Arabidopsis thaliana: one gene and its partner. The protein of the gene in region 1 interacts with the protein of each later gene in a pairwise test. Each region holds a gene or a part of one and is shown in the gene's direction. Other genes may lie near its edges.

The links.
Region 2: the proteins of RD28 (region 1) and LPAT4 interact in a protein complementation assay, tested with the Arabidopsis thaliana proteins (one large-scale study listed by BioGRID).

Annotation. Positions count from the first base shown.
Region 1 is NC_003071.7:15,615,778-15,619,846, forward strand, and holds RD28 (Aquaporin-like superfamily protein), read left to right. Parts: upstream 1-1,857; 5' UTR 1,858-2,001; coding exon 2,002-2,302; intron 2,303-2,423; coding exon 2,424-2,719; intron 2,720-2,810; coding exon 2,811-2,951; intron 2,952-3,040; coding exon 3,041-3,160; 3' UTR 3,161-3,378; downstream 3,379-4,069. Other genes in the region: AT2G37190 (Ribosomal protein L11 family protein), read right to left, coding at 3,782-4,069.
Region 2 is NC_003070.9:28,168,863-28,174,292, forward strand, and holds LPAT4 (lysophosphatidyl acyltransferase 4), read left to right. Parts: upstream 1-1,981; 5' UTR 1,982-2,255; exon of another isoform or gene 2,256-2,887; 5' UTR 2,888-2,916; coding exon 2,917-3,485; intron 3,486-3,736; coding exon 3,737-3,867; intron 3,868-4,058; coding exon 4,059-4,495; 3' UTR 4,496-4,816; downstream 4,817-5,430. Other genes in the region: ARC3 (GTP binding protein), read right to left, coding at 253-317, 479-537, 763-1,079.

The DNA of each region.
Region 1 (4,069 bases):
CTAGATTGATCAATAGTAAAATTTCTGATTATCTAGATTCTATCATCCTTCATTTAATTTCTAGAAGGAGCTCCTTATATAGTTATACTAGTTCTTATGCATGTAATTAGTAACGATTAAATTGACTTCCTATGCTCTTAACGTTACAAATCAAATCTATTAGGTGGATAAAAAAGAGTCTTTTGATAGCTCTCAGCTAACCCTACCATATAACAAAAACATAATTTATCACATGGACATGATAAAAGAAACGGCGTCGCTTCACGGGTTATGTTTCCACTAAAGTAGAAAATATGATGAAAGTTGGGTCCACTGGACCGGAGAAACCGCCCCATATAGAATTGATTAGCTCCGTCAATTGCATCGGCACCGTCCATACAGATTAAGTCCAACTCCAGTTCAGCCGTCCCAACCACTCCTCTTATGCCACGTTGTTTAGTCCCCATATTCAACAATCATTTGCTCTCACTCCTCAATTCCAAATTTCCAATTGCAATTTTCTTACGTATATTATTCAGTATTCACTAATCACTAGTCTGTCTACAAAAATAAATTGGAAAAATAAAAAGTGTACATAGACAAAAGGAATGTGGTGTAATGTGGTGTTCATGGCCAATGTTTTGCCACGTCACAATATCCTTATCGTTGTAGCGACATTTCTCTGCTCTTATTGGATTATATTTCCACGTCAGAAAGGTGCTCTCTCTCTCTCGGTCTCTCCCCTGGTTTTATTTTTGTTTTCTTTCATCTTTGTCGCTTTCTGTTTTGTTAAAGAATTGTCTACTCGATATTGGTTACGAATGGTATTGTTCTCTGTGGAAAAATGGGTTAATTTGTTATGATAAACATTTTTTGTTCCAAACAAATAAATGTTCTTTCATTTCATAGTAAATTTTTTAGTCTTCTGAACACACGTATATATATGCTTGCTAACAATGAATCCACAATAACAGATCATAAAATTACATCTGACTCATATGTAATTCTATCATGATATGTTGAGTCAATATATAGTCGATGGAGTATATATAGAGTTATAATTTGATTGTAGTGTCCTATGACAGATTTAACACTCAGCTTACACCGAAAAAGTTAAGTCTCAAATAAATTACGTATTTATGCGTTATTTAACTTATTATACAAAATGACCTAAAATACCATTTCATTTTCCTATACAAATATTCGCTTACTATATATACTATATGTTTACCAACTATCATGAAAAAGATGCACGAATGATCCAGAATGTGCTTGAAACGGCAGAAAAACAAAAGAATCGTGTGACACGATCGAGACAAATACTTTACTAATCATATAAAATCATTATTTATCAAAAACTTAAAAAGCACCTACAGTATATGCAATGTGGATACAGCTAAAAGATAAGGTATGTATGTTAACACACAAGTATATATGATCATCATTGTCAAATATGTTCACTTATATAATTGCTCACGTTTTATCGGTTTTTGGTTTTTTGTCAACGGTCAAATTTTTTGGGTGATGCCTAACAAAATTTAATGACGTGACTCTTGGGACGGTGATCTATCAGTAGCATTTAACAATCTAGTTATTTGGAAATGAATTACAGTATGAGATTTATACTATTTGTATAAACTTTTCAGGAAATGTTAAATTATATCTTTAGGAGATTTTTTGTATTGGTTCTCACTGATTTAGATTATCAAGTTACTGAGATAAAAAAAAAATTAATACTTGTTTTAGATTTCCTTTAGTTACCACTGACCAACTTCTTTAGCAAAAAAAAAAAATTACCACTAAACCAACTTATGCATTCGTTACAAAAAAAAATACCATAAAACAAAACATCAATGTTGTAAGTTGTGACATTAAATCAAAAGTGTCAAAATCAACAGTAGCACAAACCAAGAGCTCACTCTATATAAAGAACCTTTATTCTTCATCTCACAACCACAAGCCCTACAACAACCACAAAGCAAAACACTTACTTAGAAAGTCCAGAAACATCCATTAACACATATGGCTAAAGACGTGGAAGGACCTGATGGATTTCAGACGAGAGATTACGAAGATCCTCCGCCAACACCGTTTTTCGACGCAGAGGAGCTTACCAAGTGGTCTTTATACAGAGCAGTCATCGCCGAGTTCGTAGCCACTCTCCTCTTCTTGTACGTCACCGTTTTAACTGTCATTGGTTACAAGATTCAGTCCGACACAAAAGCCGGTGGAGTTGACTGCGGCGGCGTCGGAATCCTTGGCATCGCGTGGGCTTTTGGTGGCATGATCTTCATCCTTGTCTACTGCACCGCCGGTATCTCAGGTATCATATATCGAAACCGGTCCGGTTTATTACCCGGTTCAGAAAATTTAACATTTGTGGACCTTTCAAATTTGTCCTTTGTTTTGTAATTTATTTGAAATTAACCCCAAGAACTTTGTAGGTGGTCACATAAACCCTGCGGTGACGTTTGGTTTGTTCTTAGCCCGGAAGGTATCGCTGATTAGGGCGGTGCTTTACATGGTGGCTCAGTGTTTGGGTGCTATTTGTGGAGTTGGGTTTGTGAAGGCATTTCAAAGCTCTCACTATGTTAATTACGGTGGAGGAGCCAACTTTCTAGCTGACGGCTACAATACAGGCACCGGACTCGCGGCAGAGATCATCGGAACATTCGTGCTTGTCTACACAGTCTTCTCCGCTACTGATCCCAAACGCAACGCTAGAGACTCCCACGTTCCGGTTAGTATTTATTTTTATCAGTTATAAGATCGTTAGTTAATTACATGATATCATTAACTAATACTTTGGGTTATGAATTATGAAACGAAAGGTTTTGGCGCCACTTCCGATTGGGTTTGCGGTGTTTATGGTACATTTGGCCACTATTCCGATCACCGGAACCGGTATCAACCCGGCTAGGAGTTTCGGAGCCGCCGTAATCTTTAACAAGAGCAAGCCATGGGATGACCACGTACGTTTCTATTTCTTAATTATTTAAAATTAATCAAATTATGGACGGAGGAAAAATACTAAAGTGTTTTTGGTCTTACATAATTACAGTGGATATTCTGGGTGGGACCATTCATTGGAGCTACGATAGCTGCATTTTATCACCAATTCGTTCTAAGGGCCTCAGGCTCCAAGTCCCTCGGTTCATTCAGAAGTGCAGCCAACGTTTAAACTTAGCCACGAAAGAAAAAAAGTGTGCCTACAATTATGTAGAAACATATCCTCTTTTCCACTCGTATCTTAGCTTCTTCCTATTTTCTATTTCTAACTGTGTGATTCCATATTAAATCGAGTGAAATGTTTTTCAATTCATCTTTGCAACGTATGTAAGTTTGGTGTATTGAGAAAAAAAATCGAGAAAGACAACTTTTTCTTCGATTATATACCCTACACAATGTGTTGAATGGGAGATGAAGAACAAAGAAACCAATTTAAGAGAGGCAAACACAATTTAGCGAATACAGATGAATGAACTACAAGCATTGCCATTGTTCTTCTTCATTTCTACAATTTAGCTTCACAAACATTCCAAGAGAGACGAATCACGAATCAATGTTCTTCTAGATTATCAGCAAGATACGATACTAAACGCAGATTCAATTTCCTAAGGCAAGTTCAAGCATTTCGTATAAAATTGAAAGAAACTAAGCATAAGCATAAAATTGAGATTAGATAAAAAAGCAGCAATAACAATCCAAAACTGACTTGTCGTTGTTCTAAACAAAACATAAGAAGAAGAAACTAAAATCTCAAAAGGCAAAGGAAACAAACACACCATCATTTCCAAATTCTTCAGTTCTCAGGAATCTCAACTTCACCATCTTGAATCTCCTGTTGAATATCTTTAGGATCTTTCCCATCCACAGTACAACCAACAGACACACAAGTTCCCAGAATCTCCCTCACTGTTCCACTCAATTCCTTAGCAATAGATCTAGGTCTCATGATCCTAGCAATCTCAGTCACATCATCAAACGAGATGTTCCCGTTATGCTTAATGTTCTTCACCTTCTTCCTATCTCTCTCCGGCTCTTTCAACGCCTTGATGACGAGTGCTGCTGCTGATGGAACCACCGTCAC
Region 2 (5,430 bases), on another chromosome or scaffold:
CTGGCAAGGGTAACAGTTTAAGCAGAATCAGATGCTCGGCCAATACTATTCCACGAAAATAAAATTCGAGAAAAATTGAAAACCATTAGCATTTCATTAAGAGCCTAAGCGAATTTCGGAACCATGGTTGTTAATAATCACTGATCAATTAGACACTGTGTATCTTTTGCTACCTATGGAACTGCGAAATTCAAAAACGTTTTTGTAGCAGAAAACAGAACACAAACAATGTTAGGCGAGAAAAGTACAAACAAGGATGAAGGCCCTTGGACGTGACTGTAACAGCTCAATTGGATTCATGGTCTTCAAGGCATTATCTGTAAACAGAAAGAGAGAAGCGATAAGTAAGAAAGATAGCATATCCCTCTAATCTTCTTGAACAACTAGCTAAATATATGCTAGTTGTTCAAGAATCTGTTTTTAATCAAATTCAAAACTCAAACGGCAAGAAGAAACAGGAAAAGAATAGATTATGGACCTTGGTGATTGAGCCTCTGCTGTAACACTAAACCTCCAGAGCTGTCCTTGCTAATACTCCTGAAAAAGTAGATTTGGCAATTAAATTTGATCCCTTTCACGAATACACAGAGCGTACGTAATCAATTCAAGCCATAAGCTTCGTCACTAGAAGAAAGCTACACAATTTAGGAGTGTGCTAGGAAAGTCAGTAACAATAAACTATCAGATTTCGAAAATTAGACTACAACAAAGTGGCTAGTAGATAAAACAGAATCATGGGCCGAACAAAAGTCGAGCATATACCAAAATCGCAGAGGAAGAGAAGGAAAAGGAGAATCCAAGCATGAATCCATGATAGACTCCTTGCGACTACCGATGACAAGAACCTCAATGAACTCGTCAGACCCATCTTCTCCAGCTCTCTCGCACGTCTCTATCGGAGCAGAATCCCTCACTAAGCACATCACGCAAATCCGACGCGCCTTTCGAGATGTACAGTTCAATCGCGTCGTAGCACCAAGGGACGAAAACGGAACTCCAAAAGTAGGAAGTAAAGCTAAACGAGAGAACAATGGTACTCGGAGAGTAGAGAAAACTGGAAGTTCCATAGAAATCGGCATTGCTCCGCTTCTACGGAACCACTTCTTAGAATACAGAACAATTTAATAAGTCACATGAAATTGATAGATGATGAGATTCGGTCGGAGCATAGCATGTCTGAAGTTCTCCCGATAATTCTGAAGCAGAAGAGGGAAGAGTGAGAAAAATATCAAGTTCGCCGGCACCGTGAACTGATTATTTATTCATTAACCCTTATATTACTACTTATTTTAGTTTTGACCTCATATTTGTTTTTATTGCTTATGTACCCCTACTGTAAGTTGACGAATCGGTGGCGGAGATTAACTTTTGAACCGATCAATCACATCCTCATATTTGGTCTACTATCACTTTTAATAGTTTACTTTCTTGGTCAATGATATATTTTATAATCAAATTGTTTCATTATAATAAAGAAAGAACTTATCTTAGTCTTCTACAATAATGAGTCCAATATATTCACTAAACAAACAGTTCTTTCTTAACAACAACTAGAGAAAACAATTTCAAGGAAAAATTTTACTTAGAAAAAATCAACTAGACACGATTTTTTCTTCAGCATTTTATACATGAATTGTTATATTTTTTTGGATATAACTTTATCTTAGAAGAAAATATACTTATACCATTGTAAAAATAAGGGAATTTGGTCAAAAATTCCAAAAAAAAACTTATACTATTGTAAAAATAAAAATAAATGACATCGAAATAATTAATAAAAACATCTGGTCCCCATGAAACTCGTATATTAATACTTCAGATCCAAAATTTATGAAAAAATATCAAGCTCAATGTATTAAATTAAAAAATATAAATCATTAAAAGCTAGATTTTATTCTTGTTTGGTACAACCAATAATAATAAGTGGGGAAAAGTATTAATTAGAGTTTGCTTCACGTTTGAGTTTCACAAAAAGTGTAACGACGCCAGGAGAATTTTATCGGGTCGCAAGTGTCACCTTTGTGGATTTTGTCTTCCCTGCAACTTTTGACCTTTTCGCACTCAGCGAATCAGATCGCTATAGTACGGTGCACCCTACCGTCTCTGATCATCCCCACTGTCTTAATTAGATCCGACCCGAAACGTATCCTTCTCTGAAACTTCGTTTGAGATTCGCATTCCTCTGTTCTTCCACCATTTAACAATTATCCTCTTTTGTCTTCGCCAACTTCTTCCGTTTCTTCATACTTCTCCAGGTACTTCGTCGAGTTCCTCGTGCTTTAGATTGTTTTTGCTTTTTTCGAAGATACGTGAGAGAAGTGTTTCTCTTGCTCTGTCTCTTCTTTGATCTTATATCACGTGGGATCTGATTTTTTAGTTGCGGTATTCACAAGTCTTTCCCAATTTGAGGATGTTTTGTCTCCGTGATTTCTGTGTTTTTGTTTTGGAATATTGATGATTATAGATTCGAAATTATGCAGCTTTAGATACTAACTAAATGACGAATCTTTTCTCATTATTCGCTTGTTGAATCTTCCACTGAGCTCATAGATAAGGAATTCTCTGTTCATTGTTGCTTTTAGAGCTTAATTCATGTTCCTGAGATTCAAATTTGCAACCTTTTTCCCACTTATGTAAGAAAAAATGGCTTTTTATATATTCTTCATTCATGGCTGTGTTGATTAGGAATCTCTAATCTCTATGTCTACTGTTAGATTAATTGTTTGGTATTGATACTCAAATTGCATATATTTAGGTTCTTGCATTGGTTTTTTATAGTATCTTTTCTGCAACTGAGTCTTTGTATTTACCAAAAAAAGAAAAAAACTCAATCTTTGTGGGGAACTTAAAGGTGGCACTGAGTAATATTTGAATCTCATTGCTGCAGTTTTGTCTTGAGGTTTATCTGGAAAAAAGATGGAAGTTTGCGGGGATCTGAAATCTGATAACTTAAAGAACCGCCCCTTGACTCCGCTTAGGATTCTGAGGGGCTTGATGATCCTGCTGGTGTTTCTGTCTACTGCTTTTATGTTTCTGCTGTACTTTGCACCAATAGCTGCTCTAGGTCTACGGCTTCTGAGTGTGCAACAATCTAGAAAAGTTGTTTCGTTAATCTTTGGTCTCTGGTTAGCTTTGTGGCCTTACCTGTTTGAAACGGTTAACGGGACAACTGTGGTGTTCTCTGGAGACATCATTCCGGTTGAGAAACGTGTTTTGCTTATTGCAAATCACAGGACGGAGGTGGATTGGATGTATCTGTGGAATATTGCCTTGAGAAAAGGCTGTCTTGGCTACATCAAATACGTGCTCAAGAGCAGCTTGATGAAATTACCTATTTTTGGTTGGGGCTTTCATGTTTTGGAATTTATCCCGGTGGAGAGGAAGCGGGAGGTCGACGAACCTGTTTTGCTTCAAATGCTTTCATCTTTTAAGGATCCTCAAGAACCCTTATGGCTTGCTCTATTCCCTGAAGGAACCGATTTCACGTACTATATGCTCCCTATCTGATTTAACTGCTCTAGATATATTAGCTAATACATTATTAATCTGAATCTTCGAAGATATCTTTCAGTTTCTCTTTGGTAGGATATTTAACACCATGCGCATCTGTCTTGCAAATATCTTAAACCAGTCACCCTCATTTACAATAATTTGCCTGCTATTGCATGAATGTTTGAAATGCTGCTCTTAGTATATCTTCTTTCTATTACTGAGACCTTCCTTATTTGATATGCAGTGAAGAGAAATGCAAGAGAAGCCAAAAGTTTGCAGCTGAAGTTGGTCTTCCAGCACTATCAAACGTACTTCTACCAAAAACAAGGGGTTTTGGCGTTTGCTTAGAAGTTCTTCATAACTCTTTGGATGCAGGTATGGTTCATGAAATTTTGTTACAAATGTTGGTGTACATATAGTAGTATCTCAAGCCACATGTTATGCAAACACTTATGTGTTTTGACGACATTATGATGGCGTGCATATCTTCTATTTTTCCAATGACCCATGTGGGACCTCATGACCACAATTAACTGAACAAGGCATTTCCTTTTATTGCAATGCAGTATATGATTTGACTATCGCATATAAACCTCGCTGCCCATCTTTCATGGACAATGTATTCGGGACGGATCCTTCAGAAGTACATATCCACGTTCGGCGAGTTCTACTAAAGGAGATTCCAGCAAACGAGGCAGAATCTTCTGCTTGGTTAATGGATTCATTTAAGTTGAAGGACAAACTGCTATCCGATTTCAATGCTCAGGGGAAATTCCCCAATCAAAGACCAGAAGAAGAACTCTCTGTTCTCAAGTGCATTGCAACATTTGCAGGGGTAATATCTTTGACAGTAGTGTTCATATATCTGACCTTGTATTCACATAGCTGTTTCAAAGTATATGCTTGTCTAAGCGGCACATATTTAACTTTTGCTACATATTACAAGTTCCAACCCTCACCTGGCTGTTTTAGAGAAGATTCTTGTAAAGTTAAAAACCATTAACTTTGTTGTAAATACAATTCTTTCTTTGTATACAAAGAAATAATATTACAGGCAGAAAATATCTCTGGGATGCCTTTTTCATTGTAAGTTCTTTGATCTTCAGTTAGTTAAAATTGTATTCCATGTTGTTCTCTTGAAAGTTGAAACTCACATAGATAGTTTGTGTAGTCTTTAGTCACATTTTGGTTATGTCAAATTGTTTGAGTCTTGCAAGTGCCACTGTTAGCACTTTTCATTCAAAACTGTCACGGAGCAAACAGAATTTGGAAGGAAAAGTTGATATGTTGGAACTGTAGAACTCTTGTGTTTATTGAGTTAGAAACAACAACAGGTCACTAAACCATCTTGTCAAAAGGTGTTCTTACTTCTGAATCAGTCAAGTAAAGGAAGTTTCCATCTGAGCAAAACTTTGTCGGTGATCGACAAAGCATAGTAGAACCCACTTTGTCCCAAAAGAATGTTACCTTCTTTTTGCAGGTGATGAAAAAGAGAGTAAGAAGGCCGTTGCTCAGCACCCTTTCACTGATACATTGGATCATCTTTTTCAGGTAGAGCATAGCATCTCCTGTTTTCTTTATATGCATATCTATAACTTGTCCACGTGTCATCTTATCTCTTTATATGAGTAGGTGCAGATGAGCTCAGGTTAGTTTTGACTAAACCAACTTTCATGAACTTTCTTTACTTTTTTGGTTGGGAAAGATTTGAGAGGCACAAAACAAAACAATGTCTATTGATACATTTCTCTTAGGACAATACAAGCTCATGTAGAATTGTAATTCTATATCTAACCACACAAAGACACATGTACAATTGTAATCGATAACTATGAGACATAATCTTCTTTTTATTAACGCAAGAAAAAAAAAATCATCAAGGCAAATAAATGTTACACTGACAAAGAAAATGGGCTAACAGAGTAGGCACAGAAAATT